4 linked regions of the Arabidopsis thaliana genome follow. The protein of the gene in region 2 purifies or fractionates together with the protein of the main gene of each other region. This does not show direct contact. Each region holds a gene or a part of one and is shown on either strand. Other genes may lie near its edges. The genes, in order: MDAR6, PGK1, MDHAR and ATMDAR2.

The links.
Region 1: the proteins of PGK1 (region 2) and MDAR6 fractionate together in Arabidopsis thaliana (co-fractionation; one large-scale study listed by BioGRID). This does not show direct contact.
Region 3: the proteins of PGK1 (region 2) and MDHAR fractionate together in Arabidopsis thaliana (co-fractionation; one large-scale study listed by BioGRID). This does not show direct contact.
Region 4: the proteins of PGK1 (region 2) and ATMDAR2 fractionate together in Arabidopsis thaliana (co-fractionation; one large-scale study listed by BioGRID). This does not show direct contact.

The regions. Positions count from the first base shown.
Region 1 is NC_003070.9:23,728,100-23,734,484, forward strand, and holds MDAR6 (monodehydroascorbate reductase 6), read left to right. Parts: upstream 1-1,775; 5' UTR 1,776-1,995; coding exon 1,996-2,005; exon of another isoform or gene 2,006-2,095; coding exon 2,096-2,270; intron 2,271-2,347; coding exon 2,348-2,447; intron 2,448-2,539; coding exon 2,540-2,617; intron 2,618-2,816; coding exon 2,817-2,888; intron 2,889-3,038; coding exon 3,039-3,157; intron 3,158-3,271; coding exon 3,272-3,356; intron 3,357-3,477; coding exon 3,478-3,567; intron 3,568-3,727; coding exon 3,728-3,829; intron 3,830-3,941; coding exon 3,942-4,031; intron 4,032-4,162; coding exon 4,163-4,243; intron 4,244-4,373; coding exon 4,374-4,445; intron 4,446-4,528; coding exon 4,529-4,623; intron 4,624-4,715; coding exon 4,716-4,804; coding exon of another isoform or gene 4,805-4,818; exon of another isoform or gene 4,819-4,891; coding exon 4,892-4,954; intron 4,955-5,053; coding exon 5,054-5,094; intron 5,095-5,315; coding exon 5,316-5,435; 3' UTR 5,436-5,875; downstream 5,876-6,385. Other genes in the region: ROH1 (uncharacterized protein), read left to right, coding at 1-1,075. UniProt on the Arabidopsis thaliana protein: Catalyzes the conversion of monodehydroascorbate (MDA) to ascorbate, oxidizing NADH in the process.
Region 2 is NC_003074.8:4,060,397-4,064,924, reverse strand, and holds PGK1 (phosphoglycerate kinase 1), read left to right. Parts: upstream 1-1,618; 5' UTR 1,619-1,784; coding exon 1,785-2,204; intron 2,205-2,281; coding exon 2,282-2,359; intron 2,360-2,446; coding exon 2,447-2,707; intron 2,708-2,803; coding exon 2,804-3,121; intron 3,122-3,352; coding exon 3,353-3,511; intron 3,512-3,588; coding exon 3,589-3,798; 3' UTR 3,799-3,980; downstream 3,981-4,528. Other genes in the region: SDRB (short-chain dehydrogenase-reductase B), read left to right, coding at 168-353, 433-592, 699-871, 996-1,218, 1,308-1,462; AT3G12775 (ubiquitin-conjugating enzyme family protein), read right to left, coding at 3,981-4,528. UniProt on the Arabidopsis thaliana protein: May trigger the phosphorylation of FTSZ2-1 and FTSZ2-2.
Region 3 is NC_003074.8:3,055,843-3,061,198, forward strand, and holds MDHAR (monodehydroascorbate reductase), read right to left. Parts: upstream 3,403-5,356; 5' UTR 3,262-3,402; coding exon 3,208-3,261; intron 2,718-3,207; coding exon 2,646-2,717; intron 2,366-2,645; coding exon 2,314-2,365; intron 2,228-2,313; coding exon 2,147-2,227; intron 2,060-2,146; coding exon 1,941-2,059; intron 1,856-1,940; coding exon 1,633-1,855; intron 1,547-1,632; coding exon 1,302-1,546; intron 1,217-1,301; coding exon 1,076-1,216; intron 998-1,075; coding exon 659-997; 3' UTR 533-658; downstream 1-532. Other genes in the region: AT3G09950 (uncharacterized protein), read right to left, coding at 4,512-4,790. UniProt on the Arabidopsis thaliana protein: Catalyzes the conversion of monodehydroascorbate to ascorbate, oxidizing NADH in the process. Required for producing sufficient ascorbate to maintain the interaction between Piriformospora indica and Arabidopsis in a mutualistic state.
Region 4 is NC_003076.8:921,524-926,730, forward strand, and holds ATMDAR2 (Pyridine nucleotide-disulfide oxidoreductase family protein), read right to left. Parts: upstream 3,206-5,207; 5' UTR 3,094-3,205; coding exon 3,040-3,093; intron 2,824-3,039; coding exon 2,752-2,823; intron 2,667-2,751; coding exon 2,615-2,666; intron 2,527-2,614; coding exon 2,446-2,526; intron 2,366-2,445; coding exon 2,247-2,365; intron 2,146-2,246; coding exon 1,926-2,145; intron 1,836-1,925; coding exon 1,717-1,835; intron 1,626-1,716; coding exon 1,500-1,625; intron 1,410-1,499; coding exon 1,269-1,409; intron 1,179-1,268; coding exon 855-1,178; 3' UTR 525-854; downstream 1-524. Other genes in the region: AT5G03620 (Subtilisin-like serine endopeptidase family protein), read left to right, coding at 1-351. UniProt on the Arabidopsis thaliana protein: Catalyzes the conversion of monodehydroascorbate to ascorbate, oxidizing NADH in the process.

The sequences.
Region 1 (6,385 bases), on a different chromosome or scaffold from region 2:
TGAAATTAACACGGTAGCTTCCGTAGCCGCGACGGAGCAGATTATGTCCGTGACTTGGCTTCGTAAGCTGATGGATGTTTTCCTCTGTTGCGAAGCTGAATTCAAAGCGATTTTGTTAATGGGTCGTGACCCGACCCAGATTTCTAAGCCGCCTTTTGACCGGTTAGTTCCTGAAATGTTAGACCGGTCGATTAAAGCGCTTGACATTTGTACCGCCGTTGTTAACGGTATCGATTCCGTTAGACATTACCAGCGTTTAGCTGAGATTGCTGTGACGGCTTTGGAGCAACGTCCGTTAGGTGACGGTAACGTGAGGAGAGCTAAACGCGCGTTGGCGAATCTCGTCGTCGCGTTGAGTCTCGAGGATAAAGAGAATGTTAGCGGCGGAGGTGGTGGCGGCGGCGGAGGGAATAAGACGACGGAGAGATCGTGGTCGTTTGGTCGTCGAAGCGGTGGATCATCGGCGGCGAGTAAAGGAGGAGCAACGATTGGTCAGCTCAAATCGTCGTCGTGGGCGGTTGGGAGAAATTGGTCGGCGGCGAAGCAGATCCACGCAATGACAGCGAATCTTACGCCGCCACGTGGTAACGAAGCGGCGGGATTGCCTCAACCAATGTTTATAATGAGTACGGTGATGGTTTTCGTAATGTGGGTGCTAACGGCGGCGGTTCCGTGTCAGGAGAGATCAGGATTAGCGAATCATTTACCAGTGCCGCCGAAACATTTGAATTGGGCTCAGAGTTTGATCGGAATCCATGAGAAAATCGGAGATGAGTGGAAGAAGAAAGAGAAGAAAGGATCTGCTGGATTGATGGAGGAGATGACGAGGATGGAGAAGCTAGGTCACTCGTTGATGGAATTCGCAGATGGATTTCATTATCCGGCGGAGAAAGATGCTGCTGAATCTGCGGCGGTGCAAGTGGCGGAGATGGCGGAGATATGCAGGAGAATGGAGGAGGAGCTTGTGCCGTTACAGCAACAGATCAGAGAAGTTTTTCATAGGATCGTGAGGAGTCGTGCGGAGATTCTCGAGGTGTTGGAGCAAGCCGGGAAAGTTTCGGCGCCAGTTGTGTAAAAGTTTTGAATTATTGGGAATCAATTTCGAAGTTTTGTAATTCTTTGGGGGCTAATAGGATATTTTATTTTCTTGGTTTCGTCTATTGTTGTTTTTCTATTTATGGTTGGGCTTTTAGAACTCTGGACAGGCCCATGTCATATGTTTTCCCTTCTCCTTATATTTTTCATTTTTCATTTTGTTAAATTAATGCATAATATCCAAAAACAATTTAAATTTTTGAAGGAACCCTTTAGTTACGGCTCCGAAGCTTTCACAAGTGAGAATGTGAGATCAAAGAAGGCAAATGGAGGATTTTAAAAGTTAAAATCATCTTTTATCTGCAAAAGTTGACAATTTTTTTGTATCAAATCTAAATCATCAAACTCTCTTAAACTACAAGAGCATAACAACCTCTATGTAATCCATGAAATAATCTGCTTGAAGGACATAACATAAATCATTATGGCTAGAGTGACTAACTTCAATCAAATCCTCTTAACTCTAGCTCCCTTACAATGGTATCGTAAAACATTATGCATTAGGGATTGTTGTCCTAGGAAAATAAAATAAAAATCCCCACAGACCAACTACCATTTTAACTTAAAAATAAGCTTCGTCCGCGACGAATTGTTTTCCATCCTAAAAATAGAATGGTGTAATCTGCTAATGGTTTAGTTCCATTAACTTGCAAGTTCTATTGAAAGCCTAAATGTCAATAAAGATATTAAAATTCGGAGTCAAAAGACAAATGAATCAAAAGCAACAAGACAAGTCAGCTCCATTCTTCACTACCCATCTTTTACAATAAATCATCTCTCTTTTCACAAATTTCAAACTACTCTCATTGCCCTTTAGCTTTGTTATAGAGCCAACACTACAGAGAGACTCACACACTTGTTTCAATAATTAAATCTGAATTTGGCTCTTCTTATAAACTAATGTCTGCAGGTCTTCTTATCTCTCTCACTCACCACCATCTTCTTCCTCGATTGTCAAAACCCTAGATCGAAATCTTATCTCTCTAATCTGTTGTTACAGTTCGTAGAGTCATGGCGTTAGCATCAACCACGTTGCCGACGAAGTCCGGATTATCTCTTTGGTGTCCGTCTTCTCCGTCTCTCGCTCGCCGATTTCCCGCTCGTTTTTCTCCGATCGGTTCTAGAATCGCTTCCAGAAGCCTCGTCACTGCTTCGTTCGCTAACGAGAATCGCGAGTTCGTATATATAATTCTTCCAATTTTGATTCTGGCGTTGATGAATTTCTATGCGATTGATTGTGTGATTGTGTTAGGTTTGTGATTGTTGGTGGAGGAAATGCTGCTGGTTATGCTGCTAGAACTTTTGTGGAAAATGGAATGGCTGATGGTCGGCTATGCATTGTGACCAAAGAGGTGATTCAAATCGATCCCTTAGTGTTTTCTTCATCAGTAACACTATTGGTTTTACTTTGTTTGATTGTTGGATTTGTGGTTGTTATTGTTAGGCTTACGCACCTTATGAGAGACCGGCTTTGACAAAAGCTTACTTGTTCCCACCAGAGAAGAAGCCAGCTCGTTTACCAGTAAGCTTTGCCAACTTTAATGTTTTGATTCGATCAATTTGAGTGGTTCTTTTAGTGCTATTGCTCTTAATTGGCTACATGAACATTATGGAATGAGTACCGGTAGATTGTTTACAGTGTTACGATTGTTACTGATATGAAGATTTGTATGATTTAGTTTTGTGATCTCTGTTTATATTGAGGGTGGTCGTATATGCAGGGATTTCATACTTGCGTTGGAGGTGGTGGAGAAAGGCAAACACCAGATTGGTATAAGGAGAAAGGAATTGAGGTAATTCATCTTCTGATACATAGTTTTGTTTTCTAAAATATATGAATGTAAGTGAAGTGTCTTTGGTTTGATTAACTGTACAGCTTGGAATGTACGTCGGTGAATTTGTGGTCTTCTCTTGTGTCTTACTAATGCATTTTGTTTGGACAGGTAATATATGAAGATCCAGTGGCTGGAGCTGATTTTGAAAAGCAAACACTCACCACAGACGCAGGGAAGCAGTTAAAATATGGATCTCTAATTATCGCTACAGGGTGTACAGCCTCAAGGTGAGTGAAAGTCGCATTTTTTTTGCAATGATTGATAAACAACATCAGAGAACCTAGGCCTTTTCAACCATGTATACTGATATTATGAATATTTGCTCTGGATTTTTATTGTAGGTTCCCAGATAAAATCGGTGGGCACTTGCCAGGGGTTCACTATATTCGGGAGGTTGCAGATGCTGATTCACTGATAGCATCTCTGGTAAGCTAAGGGCATTTTTACCAGTTACCAGTTTTGTCATCTTAATGCAATGTTGTAATATGCGTCATCAGAAAAATCCAAATTTCCTGGCTACAAAATAACCTTCCAATATGTGATACAGGGAAAGGCAAAGAAAATTGTCATTGTTGGTGGTGGCTACATCGGCATGGAGGTTGCTGCTGCAGCTGTTGCGTGGAATCTAGATACAACGGTTATTATCCCTTTCACTTGAATTTTTAAATTGTGCTAGAAATGAAGAATACTTCTAATCATTCGATGAGTTAAACAAATTCCTAGAAACGTTCAGATAAATTGTGGAACAGATGTACTAACTTACAGTTGCTTTTGGGCTTTCCCATGTGGAACAATAGATTGTATTCCCTGAAGATCAGCTTTTGCAAAGATTGTTCACTCCATCGCTTGCTCAGAAATATGAAGAACTGTACCGTCAAAATGGTGTTAAGTTTGTCAAGGTAAGATATCAGCACACGATCAACACCTTATACTGAAGCCTTTGCTTTCCTGCAAACCTAAGAATTTCAGAAACACAGTGTGCAAACTTGAATTTCTCTTTCTGTTGAACAGGGCGCTTCCATAAATAACTTGGAAGCAGGTTCGGATGGGCGTGTATCAGCTGTTAAGCTTGCTGATGGGTCTACAATTGAGGCAGACACGGTATAGTTGTAGCTCAGCTTCACTTTTTTCTTTCTCAAATGATGCAAATTCAACAACTTTGATCAAATGAAAACTGTGAAGGGTCAATGTAATACTGACTTTTGTACGACCTGTGTATCCTTACTTTACAGGTTGTAATTGGAATTGGAGCTAAGCCTGCTATTGGCCCCTTTGAAACTTTGGCCATGAACAAATCAATTGGAGGAATTCAGGTATTATTATTACAAAACATCCGGATTTATTTTCCAAGATAATCGGTTTTCAGAGTTAGAACTTCACAAGAAACTACATCAGTATGTTGATACAATTAAAAGTTTGATAAGAGCTCATCTTCAACCACAGGTCGATGGCTTGTTCAGGACAAGTACCCCTGGAATTTTTGCTATTGGAGATGTCGCAGCCTTCCCTTTGAAGGTACTTTGCTGCTAGATAATATATGTTAAGCCATCAATTATCTCGTGAAGTGCAAACTCATCATCTTATTGTCTGATGACCAGATATATGATAGGATGACTCGAGTTGAACATGTTGATCACGCCCGCCGCTCTGCACAACACTGTGTGAAATCACTACTCACGGCACACACTGACACGTAAGCTTCTTCCCTGGAAAGATCTGTAGACTTTGCCTGTATCCCTTAACGGATATTCACCTATTAGTTCTTGTCTTGCTCAATATTTGCAGGTACGATTATCTTCCATATTTCTACTCAAGAGTATTCGAGTATGAAGGAAGCCCAAGAAAAGTGTGGTGGCAGTTTTTCGGAGATAATGGTAAATCTATTTGACCTAAATATGACGCCATCCAATTACTCAAACAATATTTCCACTGTAGCTAAACCACTGATTCATACTGGCCAGTGGGAGAAACAGTGGAGGTTGGGAACTTTGACCCGAAAATCGCTACCTTCTGGATTGAATCTGGTAAATAATTCCTTCAGCCTTTTCTCACTTCAGTTAACCTTGCACAAATACACAGCTTAGCAAATTAACTAACTTTGATGAGTAATTATCGTAACACAGGCAGGTTGAAAGGTGTTCTAGTAGAAAGCGGATCGCCTGAGGTAAGAGTCTTTCTTAGCATCTCCCTCGTTAACATTCTGAATTAGCCAATCTTTAGAGCATCATGCTTCTTTAGATCTGCGAGACTAAAATTAGAATATTTTGGAACGGTCATTGAAACTTGACAATAGCAATTACATCAGCATGGGTTTTGTTTTCATGTAAATATGTTAACTATATGGATTTTAATTGCTTCCATTGTTATGTATATCTCTTGAAACAGGAGTTCCAGCTTCTACCAAAGCTAGCAAGAAGCCAACCACTTGTCGATAAGGCTAAACTCGCAAGCGCATCTTCAGTCGAAGAAGCTCTCGAGATTGCTCAAGCCGCTCTACAGAGTTAGAGAAGGAAACTTCATGGAGTTTTTTTAATAGCTTTTGGGTTCAGAGAAATCAACATCTTTTATTCCCGGTGAGAGTTATTCATCTTTCCATTGGAAAAATGATCTATAGAGAGCACTGTTGTCAATAATCTCCTCGAATAATTTATAACCTCTTTTTGGGATAATCATATTTTGCTCATTAGAGAGCTTTGTTTCTAATAAAATCTATGTTAGTCACTGAGATAGATAAAGATCGTTTTCTCATGATCTATGGGTTGTTTCGTGGATCATTAAAATATTTATTTATTTAGATTTCTTTTATCGACTGTAAACCATAAACGAAATTTGTATAAACAATAATGAAGACTTTGTTATAATTCACGCAAGGATTTGTTTTGCGGCACGTAATAGAGTCTTGTGGGATTGATTGCGACATGTAAAAAGGTTTTTGTAGCCTAAACGCGTTTCATACGCCATAGAAATTTATTTACTGCCTATGAGTTCTACAATTGAGAAAGTGTCAAAGTGGTTATGAATCTATGATAGGTTGGGCTTTTATGATTGGTTATGAATGTTGCAAAATCGTATAAATTTGCGGAATGGTGGGAATAACAAACTAAAAAAATCGTGATTCTGCAGAACCTTGTGGTTGGTAAATATCTATGATAGCCAAGGTTCATCATTGATAGGGGAAATCATTCGGCCAAGATGTCAAAACTGTTATAAACTCTTCTCTAACTCGATCTATATTTTAATATGACATCATTCTTGGATTAACACAAGAGACCATTGTTTTGCAAAAACAACACCCTCGGTTTTTAATGGGTGAAATATTGCAAAATGCAAACAAACGTGTAATGTTGGTAAAACTAAAAAAAACAATTGATGCCAAATCCAATAACAGAAAAAGGCATTGAATGACTCTTTCACTAATAACAAATTTGAAATTGGTATATGACTAATAAAAAAAA
Region 2 (4,528 bases):
TGTAATTTGGCACTAAAAATAGGGAGATATTTAAAGTAAAGTTTGGTTAGTAGGTGAAGAGGTCCAAGTAATAAGAAGAAGAGACAGACACGCGACTGGCTCCTTTTATTTTATTTTATTTTGTCTTAAAGCTTTTGGCGAGTTTGCTTGTGTGTGAGTGTGTGGTTATGGACTCTCCGTTCAAACCTGATGTCGTCAGAGGTCAAGTGGCTCTCATCACCGGTGGTGGATCCGGTATCGGTTTTGAGATCTCTTCTCAGTTTGGCAAACATGGAGCTTCTATCGCTATCATGGGACGACGAAAACAAGTCCTCGATGACGCCGTCTCTGCTCTTCGATCTCTTGGAATCCAGGTAATCAGCGATTTTTGTTTTGAGGACTTTGTTTGTTGGATATGTGTTTGAATCTGTCTGATTTCTGTTTCGTTTGAAGGCTATTGGATTGGAAGGTGATGTTCGTAAGCAAGAAGATGCGAGAAGAGTTGTGGAAGCAACTTTTCAGCATTTTGGTAAACTTGATATTCTTGTTAACGCCGCTGCTGGCAATTTTCTGGCTGCTGCTGAGGATTTGTCTCCTAATGGCTTCAGAACAGGTTCCTTTTTCGTTTTCTCATTAATTTGATCATGATCTGAGAAGAATTATGCCTGAAAGTTTGTCAATTTAGCTCAAGGAAACGTTTTTTTGTTGTGCATGTGCAGTCTTAGACATTGATGCGGTAGGAACATTCAACATGTGTCACGCAGCTCTCAAGTATCTTAAGAAAGGAGCGCCTGGAAGAGACTCATCAAGCGGTGGAGGTTCGATTATTAACATTAGCGCGACTTTGCACTACACGGCTTCTTGGTACCAAATACATGTCTCTGCAGCCAAGGTAATTTGATTAGTCTGATAGAGTCATTCAATGTCTTGAGTTTTGGTTAGAGAATCAAGAACTAAGTAATAGGAACAAAAGATGTAGCAAAAATGTGATCTTAGGAGTTTGAAACTTGAAACAGGCTGCAGTTGATGCTACCACAAGAAACTTGGCATTGGAGTGGGGAACTGACTATGATATTAGAGTGAACGGGATTGCTCCAGGTCCTATTGGAGGTACACCTGGAATGAGTAAACTTGTACCTGAGGAGATTGAAAACAAAACCAGAGAGTACATGCCTCTTTATAAAGTTGGAGAGAAGTGGGATATCGCTATGGCTGCACTCTACCTCAGCTGTGATTCTGGTATGCTGAGTTAAATAAAGCACACTCTTTAATATAAAACATATATACATGGTTAGATGATGTAACTCATTGCTTGATTTGTTTAACAGGGAAATATGTGAGCGGACTAACAATGGTGGTAGATGGAGGACTGTGGCTTAGCAAACCTCGCCACTTGCCTAAAGAAGCGGTGAAGCAACTCTCTCGTGCGGTGGAGAAGAGGTCTAGGGCCAAGCCTGTTGGTCTCCCAACCAGCAAGCTGTAGATCATTTGAATTTCAGATATCAAATAAGTGCACATTGAAAAAATGTTTTGGTTTATTGAATTACATTGGAGACTGAGAAAATGGTATTAAGATTATGTAGATCAAACTATCTTATGCACAATAAAGTAGCTTTCTTTGCAAAAGAGGCAAAACAGTAACGAATATATGATCAAAAAGATAATCGCTTTTGAACCTCTCATCAGTGATAAGAGAGAAATATTCCAAACTCATAAAATCTCAAATGGCTAATAAATAAGAACATTGTGAGTCACTCTCTCTGTTTCTCATCTCCTCATCTTTTTATCTTCTTTGATTGATCCACATGGCTTCCGCTGCCGCAAGTTCCGCCTTTTCACTCCTTAAGTCCACCGGCGCTGTTGCTTCCTCCGCCGGAACTCGCGCACGTGCCTCCCTTCTGCCAATTCCCTCTACCTCTGTTTCCGCGCGTCCTCTAGGCTTCTCCGCCACTCTAGATTCCCGTCGTTTCTCTCTCCACGTTGCTTCCAAAGTTGAATCGGTGCGTGGGAAGGGAAGCAGAGGAGTGGTTTCTATGGCGAAGAAGAGCGTCGGAGATCTGACCTCAGCTGATTTGAAGGGGAAGAAGGTTTTCGTGAGAGCTGATCTCAATGTACCTCTCGATGATAATCAGACTATCACTGACGATACCAGAATCCGTGCCGCCATTCCAACGATCAAGTATTTGATTGAAAATGGTGCTAAAGTTATCCTCTCCACTCATCTGGTAATATTATTCCCACACACTCCTTACGTTTGATTCCTCCATCACCTGAACTAAAGTTGAACACTTTGATCTTTCAGGGAAGGCCAAAGGGAGTCACCCCAAAGTTTAGTTTGGCTCCTCTTGTCCCTAGGCTCTCCGAGCTTCTTGGTATTGAGGTAAAGTCCGTGATTTGTCTCAGTAATCAATCATCTACCTATGAGAATCAATCACTTGAGACAGCTTATTGATGGTGAATTTTGCAGGTCACGAAAGCTGATGATTGTATTGGCCCAGAAGTGGAAAGCTTGGTGGCTTCTCTACCTGAAGGTGGAGTTTTGCTTCTTGAGAACGTCAGGTTTTACAAGGAGGAAGAGAAGAACGATCCTGAGTTTGCTAAGAAGCTTGCTTCTCTAGCTGACCTTTATGTCAATGATGCTTTCGGAACTGCTCACAGAGCTCATGCTTCTACCGAAGGAGTCACTAAGTTCTTGAAGCCTTCAGTTGCTGGTTTCCTTTTGCAAAAGGTAATATTTTGATAGAGATTATTCTATTCAGCATTGAAGCATCGTTGCTACAAATGGTACCATGAACTTTTTGTTTACTTCTCTCTACCTCTATAGGAACTGGACTACCTAGTTGGTGCTGTTTCAAACCCAAAGAGACCATTTGCAGCCATAGTGGGTGGTTCCAAAGTCTCATCCAAGATTGGAGTTATTGAATCGCTTCTGGAGAAGTGTGATATTCTTCTTCTTGGTGGTGGAATGATCTTCACATTCTACAAGGCACAGGGTCTTTCAGTTGGTTCGTCCCTTGTTGAAGAAGACAAGCTTGAATTGGCTACAGAACTCCTTGCCAAAGCTAAGGCCAAAGGAGTCTCTCTTTTGTTGCCAACAGATGTTGTAGTTGCTGACAAGTTTGCTCCTGATGCCAACAGCAAGGTCTGTCTCTCTCATTTTGCAATTGCGTAATGCTTGGCAGTTTTAATTCTATATGTGTGCCTTATAAAAGAAAAATGAGAAGTAGGTGTTGTTAGTTATGTTCCTGTTTAAGCATGATGTTCTGTGTTGATGATCATCCTAAAGGAGATAGATGAGAGAATAGAATTGATTAATATTGATCTTGCTAGAGCTTTGTGTTCTGAGTAAAGTATGTCATGTGGATGTTTGTAGATTGTGCCTGCATCAGGCATTGAGGACGGATGGATGGGACTGGACATTGGTCCAGACTCTATCAAAACTTTCAACGAAGCTCTGGACACAACACAAACAGTCATTTGGAATGGACCTATGGGAGTTTTCGAGATGGAAAAGTTTGCGGCTGGAACAGAGGTAAGAAAATGATTCCTCATAGAGTAAACAAATGGTAGATGAAAATTAGATTAAGTTTGGGATTATGGTTGTTGCAGGCGATAGCGAATAAACTAGCAGAGCTAAGTGAAAAAGGAGTGACAACGATAATAGGAGGAGGAGACTCAGTGGCTGCAGTGGAGAAAGTAGGAGTAGCAGGAGTCATGAGTCACATCTCCACTGGTGGTGGAGCCAGCTTGGAGCTGTTGGAAGGAAAAGTACTTCCCGGTGTGATCGCCCTTGATGAAGCAATCCCAGTCACTGTTTAGAAACTCTTACCATCTATAAGGCAAACGCTGTATACTTAAAAGAGTTTCTTTCGCTTTAAATCTACCTATGCAAAACTTTACTATGTATCAGAGTCTCATTCCCCGGAAAAGAAAACTCACATATTAAAATTCTGAAAAAAAATATCAAGAGATAAGAAAAGACATGGACCAGACACTAGTAATCAATCAAAAGACACAGACAAGTACTTGTTCCAAAAGCTTTTGGAAGTCTTCTTGATACCATCATCCCTTTGAGTGTAGGTTGGGTAGTTGGAAGATGATGAGCCATAGTAGTAATCGCTTAATGTATACTCTTTCTCCTTCAATTTCTCCAGCTCTGCTTTCAGATCACTGTTGAGAATCTGCTCACAATAAACTTTATTGCCTTCAAACGCAAAGTACATCTTCCAGAACATTTTCTTGTCCCTCTCTTCCTCCATATCAAACTCTTGCAGCATGTTCCGCAGAATCAAAGGCCCCTTCTTCCTAAAATACCCTATTACGAAATCTTGAAACCCCGCGAGTGGCCGTTCCAGGATATCTAGCATCTGGTTACATGACTTGTTAGTGTTCATCAACACAATCTCTTGAATGTGGAGAAACACATCTACGATGTTGTAGCAGTGCTTATCTCTCAGTGACTTTTGGTCTTCAGGAGTACTCAAACGAAGGTCATACGGATGGTAATAGAAACTCGGTGCTTGATATGGATACTCCTTGGGGAACTTGA
Region 3 (5,356 bases), 1.0 Mb from region 2:
TCATACGACAGAGGAGACGATCGAAGCGTTGGCGATTTTTTACCCGACAGTGACGAATATCTACGTGGCTAGGGTGTGGGCAGAGGAAGGGTTGAAAGTGGAGATCTTGCCGAGGGTTTGAGATTGGTGGGGCTTGGAGAGAGATAAGCATTTCCTGGGTTTTGATAAAGCAGGAGATTAGGGTTTCGAAGATTGAGATGATATCAACTTCCGTGACATGGGATAATTCGAGAAGGCATCTCGTGAGAAGCACGATTCTGTTGTTAAAAAAAAAAGTTAGCGAATATTGGGTGTGATTTGGTAGTACATGTGTTATATTACTTATGAATTAAATTGACGTTGAATTATGTGTGTAATTGATAGTTGATTCTCAAAAAATTTAAAGTTTCAGTTGTGTTTTGACTTTTTTTTTAAAATGTGACAATTTTGGTCTGACTCAAAGTGTCATCAAAAGCATGACCAATGCCATGTGTTCATGTGCATCCAAAACTGAATGTCTATCATGACGAATGAAAGAACTTAAAATCCAATGTTTTGATAATCCAAACAAAATGCATTATTATATTTAATTTATTTTTCGAAATACAATAGGGGCTCGATATGAAATCAAAGACAAAGGAGATTATTACATCAATGTGACTAAACAAGACCCAATGTCTCAAAGAGAGGTGCTATAGAACTTGGTGGCGAAAGAAAGGCCTTCCTCGGATAACACGTCAAGACTCTCAACGGAAGGTTGTGCTCGTGCCACTTTAGCAATAGCCTTGTGTTCCTCTTGAGTACCTCCTTCTAGGAACACTCCTACTACTTTCCCATCTTTAACCCAATACGTCCCAAACTTTGGCTTTGGAGATTTCGGGTCATTATCTCCAAACAGTACAGATTCTCCAACGTTTTCCCCATAGAATTCCCACGATAGTTTGAAAAATCGAGAGTAGAAATAGGGAAGATAATCGTAATCTGGGATCGTTTTCCCTTCTTCACCCGCTTTGATTGCCTGCAAAACACCATCATTAGTATATATAGAAGAGTTTGGTATATTCGACTATAGAATCAAGCTAGTAAATGCTCGTACTTTGACTGCTTGTGCAGCAGATTTGCGAGCATTGTCGGCGTGTTCAACACGCCTCGTCCCGCCATACATTTTCATTGGGAATGTGGCTACATCTCCAAGTGCGTATACATCAGGCACACTTGTTTTGAAGAACCCATCAGTCTACAATCAAAACGAATAATCATTAATCACTAATTATGGTAATTGACAAGAGCTCTGTTTTTCGCCGGTAGGGTAAATCATAAACCTTTATTCCACCCTTCTCCTCTTCAAGTTGGCCTTTGAAGAGTGAGGTGGCCGGTCTAGCACCGACACCAGCGACAACTATGTTAGCTTCTAGGGTTCTTCCATCCTCTAGTTTCACCTCAGTGACCTCTCCATCTGAGTTGGTGCTAAATCCAGTTGCTACAGTTCCCTTGATGATTTTGATTCCCTTGTTGGCATAGTAACTCTCATAGAATGAAGCTATCTCAGCGGTGAAAAACCGGTGTACTATACAACGATAAAACAGAGGAAAATCTGTTACGAATACAGTGTAATTATTTAGCTAAAATGTTTTTTGTTAAGTATCAACTTACCAAGCCAAGGTTCTGGAAAAACCATGGTCACTTCATGATTATTAGCCCTTAGAGCAGAACTTATCTCAAGCCCTAAGAAACCGCCGCCAATGATGACGGCCTTTCCCCTTTGCACATATAGTTCCATAGCCAAGGCAAGCTCATCACTATCCTCGATTTCTCTTAGGTAGAATATATTCTTAACATCTGCTTCTTGGACGCCAATTTCTGACAATCTTATGTTCTGCAAAAAATATTAGAGTTTCTCGAGATGAACTAAGAACAAAGAACAGAAAGAGAGAGGAAGAGATCATAAGTATTTTACTCACAGTAGAACCGGTTGCAATTAGCAAAGTTTGGTACTTGTAAATTTTGCCATCATCACTAACAAGTGTCTTTGAAGCAAGATCTGCTTTGACTATCTCTGTGCCCACAATTAGATCAATCCCTGTAAAATTTGAATATCTCAGATCACCAAATATATTGCAAGTGAAATCACAGAGATTTCTCGGAGAAGACATAAACAAAACATTACCTTTCTCTTTGTACCAGTTAGGGTACTGCTTCGCTTCTCCAGTTCCAGCACAAACATAGATATTTGCAAGGGTCGGATTGACTGTAATGATGATCAAAGTTAACCAAAATCCGATAGCAATTAAAATATATCCATTGACAGAGATGTTTTAGAGTTAAAAGGTTTACCTTCGAGGTCAATATATACCTTGGTTAGTTCAGGACGCTCAAAAGGAGGCACCTATTGACACACACACAAAAAAAACATGGTTATGGACTTCAACATCAATTTTCAGACTAGACAATCAAATATTAAGGATGGCTTTAATTATTTCGACTTTCTAAAAATAGTTTTCATAAACTTGAGACGCAAATGCAAATGCAACCAGAGTTTGCGCTTGTATTTGTGTTTTCAATTGACGTTTGCAAACAAAAAAAGTAGTGGTATTATTATTTGGAAAAGCAAAACACCAAATTGTAACATGCAAACGCTCATAAGTCATAAGAGTGAAAAAACGTACTGGTTCCTTGGAAATGATTGCGAGTTCACCAGGCTTCAGGCCCTGATTACTAAACTCTCTCGCCGCGTAACCCTGTGATTCCGAAATGCCCAAAAAAAAAAAAAAAAAAAAGTCAATTCAGAGAGATGCGTATTCGTTACATGAATAACATTTAATAGAAGAAAATCATAAACAATTTCTTGTGTATAATAACTTAATAAGCATAAAGGGATTTACATGTAAAAGTGAGAGTAAAATAACAGAGAGTTAGAGAAAGGAATTCGTAAGCAAAGCACGGATGCGAAATAAGCGATGATTTGTAAGCAAAGAATGAACACAAACTGAACAATGATTCTTAAGCCAAAAAAAAAAACAAAAAAAAAACAGAGTCAACAAAAAAAGTCTCATCATCTACAAAACTGAACAATGCGAGTTGATAAAAATGTTGGGCAAAACATGTAATTTACTGGTTTGTATTAGTGTTATTGTTGTTGTTGTTGTTGTGTTACAATCGAATTTAAACTTGATAAAAGATATGTTGTTGTCAAAAGAAAAGTTCAAAATTGAAAATGCATTTACTTACGCCGGCTACACCACCTCCAATGATCACGTACTTGTAGCTTTTCTCTTCCGCCATTAATTAATAAATAAAACTTCTTTCTCAGTTTCGTTTTTGGTATATTATGAGAAGTACTGACTTGGGGTTTATATAAAGTGGAGAGACGATGAGGATCTCGAGTCTTGGTTGCCTGTATTTGACTAATCTGACTCAACTTGTATTTGACAATAATTATGTATTGGTGGATGATATAATATTCATATTGGAAAGACTTGACTATAATATAATCCACACCTTTAATGTTTCTAAATAGCTATTATATAATCCGAAGAAATGATCTGCTGACTAAGTAACATGATAAACGTACATATCACGTTGGAATTGTCTGTCCTCTCCTATTACGACGAAAACCATTATTATTTTTTAACTCAAAAAATTCAAAAATGTTTGTCATAAAAACGTGTATACTATTAGCTGGTACAAACGTTAAATTAAATAATTATGTAGTTAATCATAGTTTCAGAGTGTCAGATAATGAATATTAAATTTCATTGGCATTATTCACTCGAATCTCAATGATATAATTAAGTTACTTTTATTTAAACAATTTTGTTTTGGGTATGACTACTTTAGTGGGATAACGTTCGTGAAAATTACTAGTATATGTCATTTGTCAACTTAAGAACTTGCCTGATTTCTACAAAGTTAAAAAAATTGCAAGCAACATTTTCACTGTTCAAAACCAAAGTTTAAATGTGTAATAAGTAGTATATATATAAGAACAAAAAAAAAAAAACTGTTTTACTTTATGATTGTTAAAAGATACTATTGTTTTAGAATTTGCTTCCTCAGTGATGCTTATGAAGAAGTACAATCACGGACAACAATAGTGGCGAGAACGAACGGACTAGTAAAGAAATTAAGGGTGGAGATGGAGATGAATCATGATGTTTATATAGTGACTTTAATGATCTTTTGTTTTTTCTCTGTTTTTCTCTGTTTTAACATGAGAGTCAATCTCATTTGAGTAAGTTTTGGATGAAGGCTTTGATACCATAAGAAGCGGTAAAACTATATTTTATTGAACGGAAAGGTTAATATATGCAAAATCCAAAGCCAAACTTATATAGATAACATAACATAAAGAGATCTAATGAAAACTAAAGAATATAGTAGAAATCAAATTACTAAAAATATACTAAAATCTTTTTGTGACATATATATCCGGTAGATTGATATCCCGGTTTTTGTCATCTCTTCCAATGTTGTATCTCTACAATCTCCGTTACTCTTAAGAAATATAAACAAGATAAATGAAGGAGATGAAATTATGGGTGATGAGGCCATATAAAAGTGTCGATTGCAAAAGCTCGCTTCTCATGGAGAGTATTGTCATGGAAGGCAAGAAGTCCGTATTCCGAGAGAAGCAAATCCAATCTCCACTCTTCCATCTCTTCATAATCCTCCTTTGTGTATCTTGGGTAATGCAACGGCATCTTAAACCCACTGCTTGGGGCCTTTACGGCACCGTTTTTGTCAAGATTCTCCACACTTTCTTGATTTTTGGCATGGTTCAGAAAGTTAAGAAGCCAACCCCCCTTCCCCATCTCTCTCTCTCGTTTTTTTTGGTTTATGATCGATTGTGTTGCTTGTGTGCTTATATATAGAGATTACGGTGAGATTACGTGAAGAAACGGAAATGACACATTACATGAATTAAAGGGTACAATTTTAATCCACATTAATTATACCATTTATATAAGCCACCTCATGAGTTCGATTAAAGAAGCAACAAGGGGAATGAATTGGGTTTTAATCATTGAAGATATTTATCGTAATTAAGAACAATACCACAAAGGGGAAGAGCTTTTATCAAAAGAAAAGATGATGTGTGTATAAAATTGGTAAGTTAGTAACGTTTGGTGAAGAGCACATTATTTTAGCCATGAATGGAATTGCGTGAGTAAGTTAATTAAGAAGGAGATGTACGTAATTATGAATTTATAATCACGATTCACGAATATTATTACTGCAGTCTGGCTGTATATACGTCACCGTCTCATTCAATTATACCATGTTACTTTCCGTTTAAGAATGAATATTATATTTTTGCCCAAAGAAAAAGAATGTATATTATTTACACAAACCAGAAAACGTAAGAGAATTAATGAAT
Region 4 (5,207 bases), on a different chromosome or scaffold from region 2:
CGAGGGTTAGGTTCCGACGGGTTAAATTATCCGTCACTGCACAAGCAAGTGAATTCTACGGAAGCGAAAGTGTCGGAAGTTTTCTATAGAACAGTGACGAATGTCGGATACGGACCATCGACCTACGTGGCTAGGGTTTGGGCACCGAAGGGTTTGAGAGTTGAGGTTGTGCCTAAGGTTATGAGTTTCGAGAGGCCTAAAGAGAAGAGGAATTTTAAGGTTGTGATTGATGGAGTTTGGGATGAGACAATGAAAGGGATTGTGTCTGCTTCTGTGGAATGGGATGATTCGAGAGGACATCTTGTGAGAAGTCCAATTCTGTTGTTTCGATCGGATAACGATTACCGTTAAAAAAGACAAGACTGCTTTTTTTTAGACCCTTGTTTGTTTGTTTTTTGTTTTTTAGTGTTTGGTTATGATTTCTATTTCTAGTGTTGTTTTTTTTCTCCTTTTTAGTGTTGAAATAAATAGGAACATATACAATAATTCTCCCAAACTTTAGTCGAATTAAAACTTGAATAGTGTTGTTGGAGAAGGACCAATCTCCAACAAGTTAGTAAAAATGTCTACAAAATTTGGACATAAAAAACTCATATGAAGACAAGGTTTTTGTAACGCCGGATCCGAGAAAAGTGACTGAAATGTTTCCAACAAGTTTGGTGTACCATTTTCGAAGAAAGAAATATCAGAAAAGTGAATTGAGTAGCTTTCAATTTTATTTTGGAACCAAACAATCACAAGAAAGTGGGTCAAACAAATAACAAAAATGTCGACTCTGCTATCATAATAGCAAAGTGACATAAAAGCCACTCTGAACTCAAAGCTCACACTAACACACAACCTAGAAAGGCAATTTATATATTTGTGGCGAAGGAAAGGCCTTCCTTAGATAGCACTTCAAGGCTCTCAACAGAAGGTTGTGCTCGTGCAAGTTTAGCAATTGCATTGTTCTCTTCAGGACTTCCACCTTCTAAAAATGCTCCAACCACTTTCCGTTCTTTAATCCAGTAGCTCCCGAATTTCGGCTTTGGCGATTCCGGGTCATTGTCCCCAAACAATACGCTTTCTCCAACGTTGTCACCGTAGAATTGCCATGAGAGATCAAAGGCTCGAGAGTAAAAGTATGGAAGATAGTCATATTCCGGAATTGAGTTCCCTTCCTCAGCCGCCTTGATTGCCTACAAAATCATTATATCAATCGATTCAATTAGGATGATTTTATACAGCTCCTTCATTAAGACAGGTTGAAGAAGCATTATAATTATTACCTTTACGGCTTGTTCAGCGGATTTGCGAGCATGGTCAACGTGTTCAACGCGTCTCATTTCATTGTAGAGTTTCATTGGGAAGGTGGCTACATCACCAATGGCGTATACATCTGGAAGGCTTGTTTTGAAGAACCCATCAGTCTGCAATCAAAGAAAGATCTCATGAGTAAACAATAATAATAAGAACTATATCTCAGATACAGAAGAAAATGGAGTATGCAAGTCACAAACCTTCAAACCACCCTTCTCTTCTTCAACTTGATCTTTGAAGAGTGATATAATTGGTCTACCACCGACACCCACTATCACAATATCAGCTTCTAACGTTCTTCCGTCTTTCAATTTCACCTCAGTGACCTGCATCATTAAGCAACAGAGAGATATTGTTGAAGCAGCGGAGAGAAAAACTGCTGTTTGTCAAGTTTGAACGGTGATGCTAATTGCTAACCTCTCCATTTGAGTTGGTAGTGAAACCAGATGCAACAGTGCCTTTGACAATGTTAATTCCTTTGTTGGCATAGTAACCCTCGTAGAAGGAAGCAATGCCAGCGGTGAAAAGCCGAGGCACTTTTCAAAGACACAACAAAAAGGAAAGGTGTTAAGCAAAGGGAATACGATGAGAATTCTATGGTAGTGGTTTGGCTTGTATCAACTTACTGCACCAAGGTTCTGGATAAACCATGGTAACGTCGAGGTTGTTAGCCTTCAGAGCAGCACCGAGTTCAAGACCGATGTAACCGCCACCAACAACCACAGCCTTTCCTTTTTCCTTTGTTTCCATTGCATAAGCAAGGTAATCAGCATCTTCGAGTTCTCTCAGGTAGAATATATTCTTAGCATCTGCACCTGGGACGCCAAAATCTGACAACCTTATGACCTACACAATTTAAGAAATTCCTTAGAAGAGATGCAAAAAGAAAAAAGAGACTAAAAATGGAAACTTCCAAAGTAAGAAGTGCAAGGATAGATTGTGCTCACAGAAGAACCAGTTGCAGCTAGCAAAGTTTGGTACTTGAAGACTTGTCCAGTCCCACTGACAAGTGTCTTCGCAGCAAGATCTGCTTTGACAATCTCTGTGCCCAAAATCAGCTCAATACCTGCAGAAACGACATATGAGAATGAATGAGAGACATTGAGCTAAAAAAACGCTTAAAGCACAAAAAAAAAGGAAACTCACCTTTCTCTTTGTACCATTGAGGGAACTGTCTCTCTCCCCCAATTCCAGCAGCAACATAGAAATTCGGAAGTGTAGCTTTATCTATATACCATAAGAACAAACAAATCTAATTCAGAAACCACGCACAGACTAAACTAAATCTCCAAATGATGTAGAATGAAGTTTTTACTTTCGAGGTGGATATATCCCTTGCTAAGTGCAGGACGCTCATATGGAGGAACCTAATTAACACCAAAAAATTGCCAATACTATAAATAACAAGACAAGAATCTAGCTTAAATTTAGTTCCAAGTCATGAAAACTTACTTGTTCCCTGGAAATGATAGCAAGTTCACCAGGCTTGACACCTTGGTTGAAGAACTCTCTCGCCGCGTATCCCTGTGAATCACAACATCCCAAAACAACAATAAATTGGGAATCTAGTTCCTATCTTCCCGTAATCATAGAAATCACTAGATCTAGCGATACAATCTACTCTACTTCTCAGAGTGATAAGGATACAAATGAGCAGTAGTACAGTGTGATGATTCGTAAGCGAAGAGATTGAGGAAAAAAAACAAATCCGATGAAGAAGAAGAACAGAGAGAGACTTACGGCGGCGACACCACCTCCGACGATCACATACTTGAAGCTCTTTTCTTCTGCCATTGATGCGATCGAATCGTCTCTCTTTGATTTGTCTTTTTTCCTTTTCTTCGTCTTTTTGGATCCGAGAAATGTGATTGGGTCAGAGGTTTTTATAGGGGACTTTGTCCAGTATAGAAGGAATCTTTAAACGTGGCTTAATTTAAACCGTTAGATATCCCGCTTCGTGCACAAATCGAAATCGAACCGTTACAAGTCAGCGTCTTATATTTTTGACCCGGTCTTATTTAACACGTGACAGATCTGGTCGATGTAAAACGGACATTCAGATTTAAAATTCCGGTATTACTCGGTTTACTGATTACATTTCACTTTCAGTCTTTCATATTTGGAGAATTTTATTTACATACCAATTACCAAGAGAAAATATATGAAAGGAATCATAAATCTAGTGTCAGCAACCACTAGTCAAATTGATGAATATAGTAGAATATCTTTATGGAGTTGTTGGTTGGTTTTAATTTCTTTATTAGACCAATCTGTAGTTTTATGTATAGTTTAAGACTTTAAGTTTAATTCGATTATTTGTGTCAGTGAATCATTTCCATAATTTATTTGGATATAATGTAAAGACAGTTAAAACAAGGACCTTATCTTGATCCCTAAACCCGATAGTACAAAAAGGATATGTATTTACTACACTAATCATATGATTTTGTTTGCATAAACAAAGATGAATAACCTTAAGACCATAAATTATAGTAATTAATCAAACTACTAATAATCTAAATGATTTATGTCGTTATCTTATGTTTTAAGATCTACTACAGTAAAGAAAGAAACTACCTAGTTTTGTATAATTAGTATATTACAATAACATTAACATATGACCTAATGTGAATAAGAGTATTACATTAATAGTTTTGAGAGGAAAGATGATTTGGATTTTAGTCAAAAGAGGAGAAAAAATTGTCAAGAATGATGACCTAAATTCCAACCAGATAGAATTTCCAGAAATTGGGACCTAAATATTAATGATGTAATGTCACTGTATTAAAGACCTAAACTATTAATGATGTGGACCTTGGCGGCCTAAAACTCTTCCATGCCTACAATAATGAGAGTTTCAAATCCAATTTAATGAGAAAAGAACAGAGATAGGGCTGTACTAGAACACTAATTTACCGGACGTATCAAAAGTACCCTATTGATTTTGACATATGTTAATAAGTTAAAATGTACTTTGTATTATAATTATTCCTTATGATTTTGACATTTGTTACCAATCTTCTTGGAAGATTAGTAATTAGCACTCGAATACAAAGAGTACTATTTTTAGTTTACTGCATGCATGATTTTGACATTTGTTACTAAATCTTCTTGGAAGATGCTAGGATGACGAATACTTCTTACAGTGACAAGTGACAACCATGTAGAAGAAAGGATCTAAATGACTGACTAAATTCATCGGTTACTTTTGTTGTGGTTATAGATATTGACGGGCTTCTGTTAATGGGCCGGTCCGATCTATCAGATTTCGAAGAATACCCACGAATAGTTTTTATGAAGTACTCACTTTGTTGGATCCATATACAATATTACAAATTATTCCAAAACTCCCAAGTCAACTGACCTGTTGTTAGAAATAAATTTTCAAAAATGCGAACATAACTTTCACTTGTACCCTAGATGCAGACTTAGTGCTAAGCACAAGGGCTCAAATATTTGACCATAATGAAAGATGTTTTAACTTAATAGTATAAACTTATTAGCAAGTCAAGAAAAGGTCAACGTTACTATTTAGAAGACCGATATTAATATAGGGTATGTGATAATTTGCAATTGTTACATTATTCACGTATTAAGTTACTTAAATTTTGTTGACACTTTTACGTGCGGATGTGATTCACATAAAGCTTTATTATTTCGGTATGAGAGTATTGAGTATTCTATGTTCTACCTAAAAAAACATGGTGACAACCCTAATTAATATACAAAGTTTACTAAATTATTTGTTGTGGTCCATATCTTCCTGAATTTGCGAACATTTTAAACTTTAAGAATACTTTAAAATGCTTTAAAAATCAGCTTATCTTTAAGAAAACTAGTAAAAATTTCAATAAGTTAATGTTATTTTAACTTTTGAATATTCAAGAGAGAAACATTATAATTTCCCT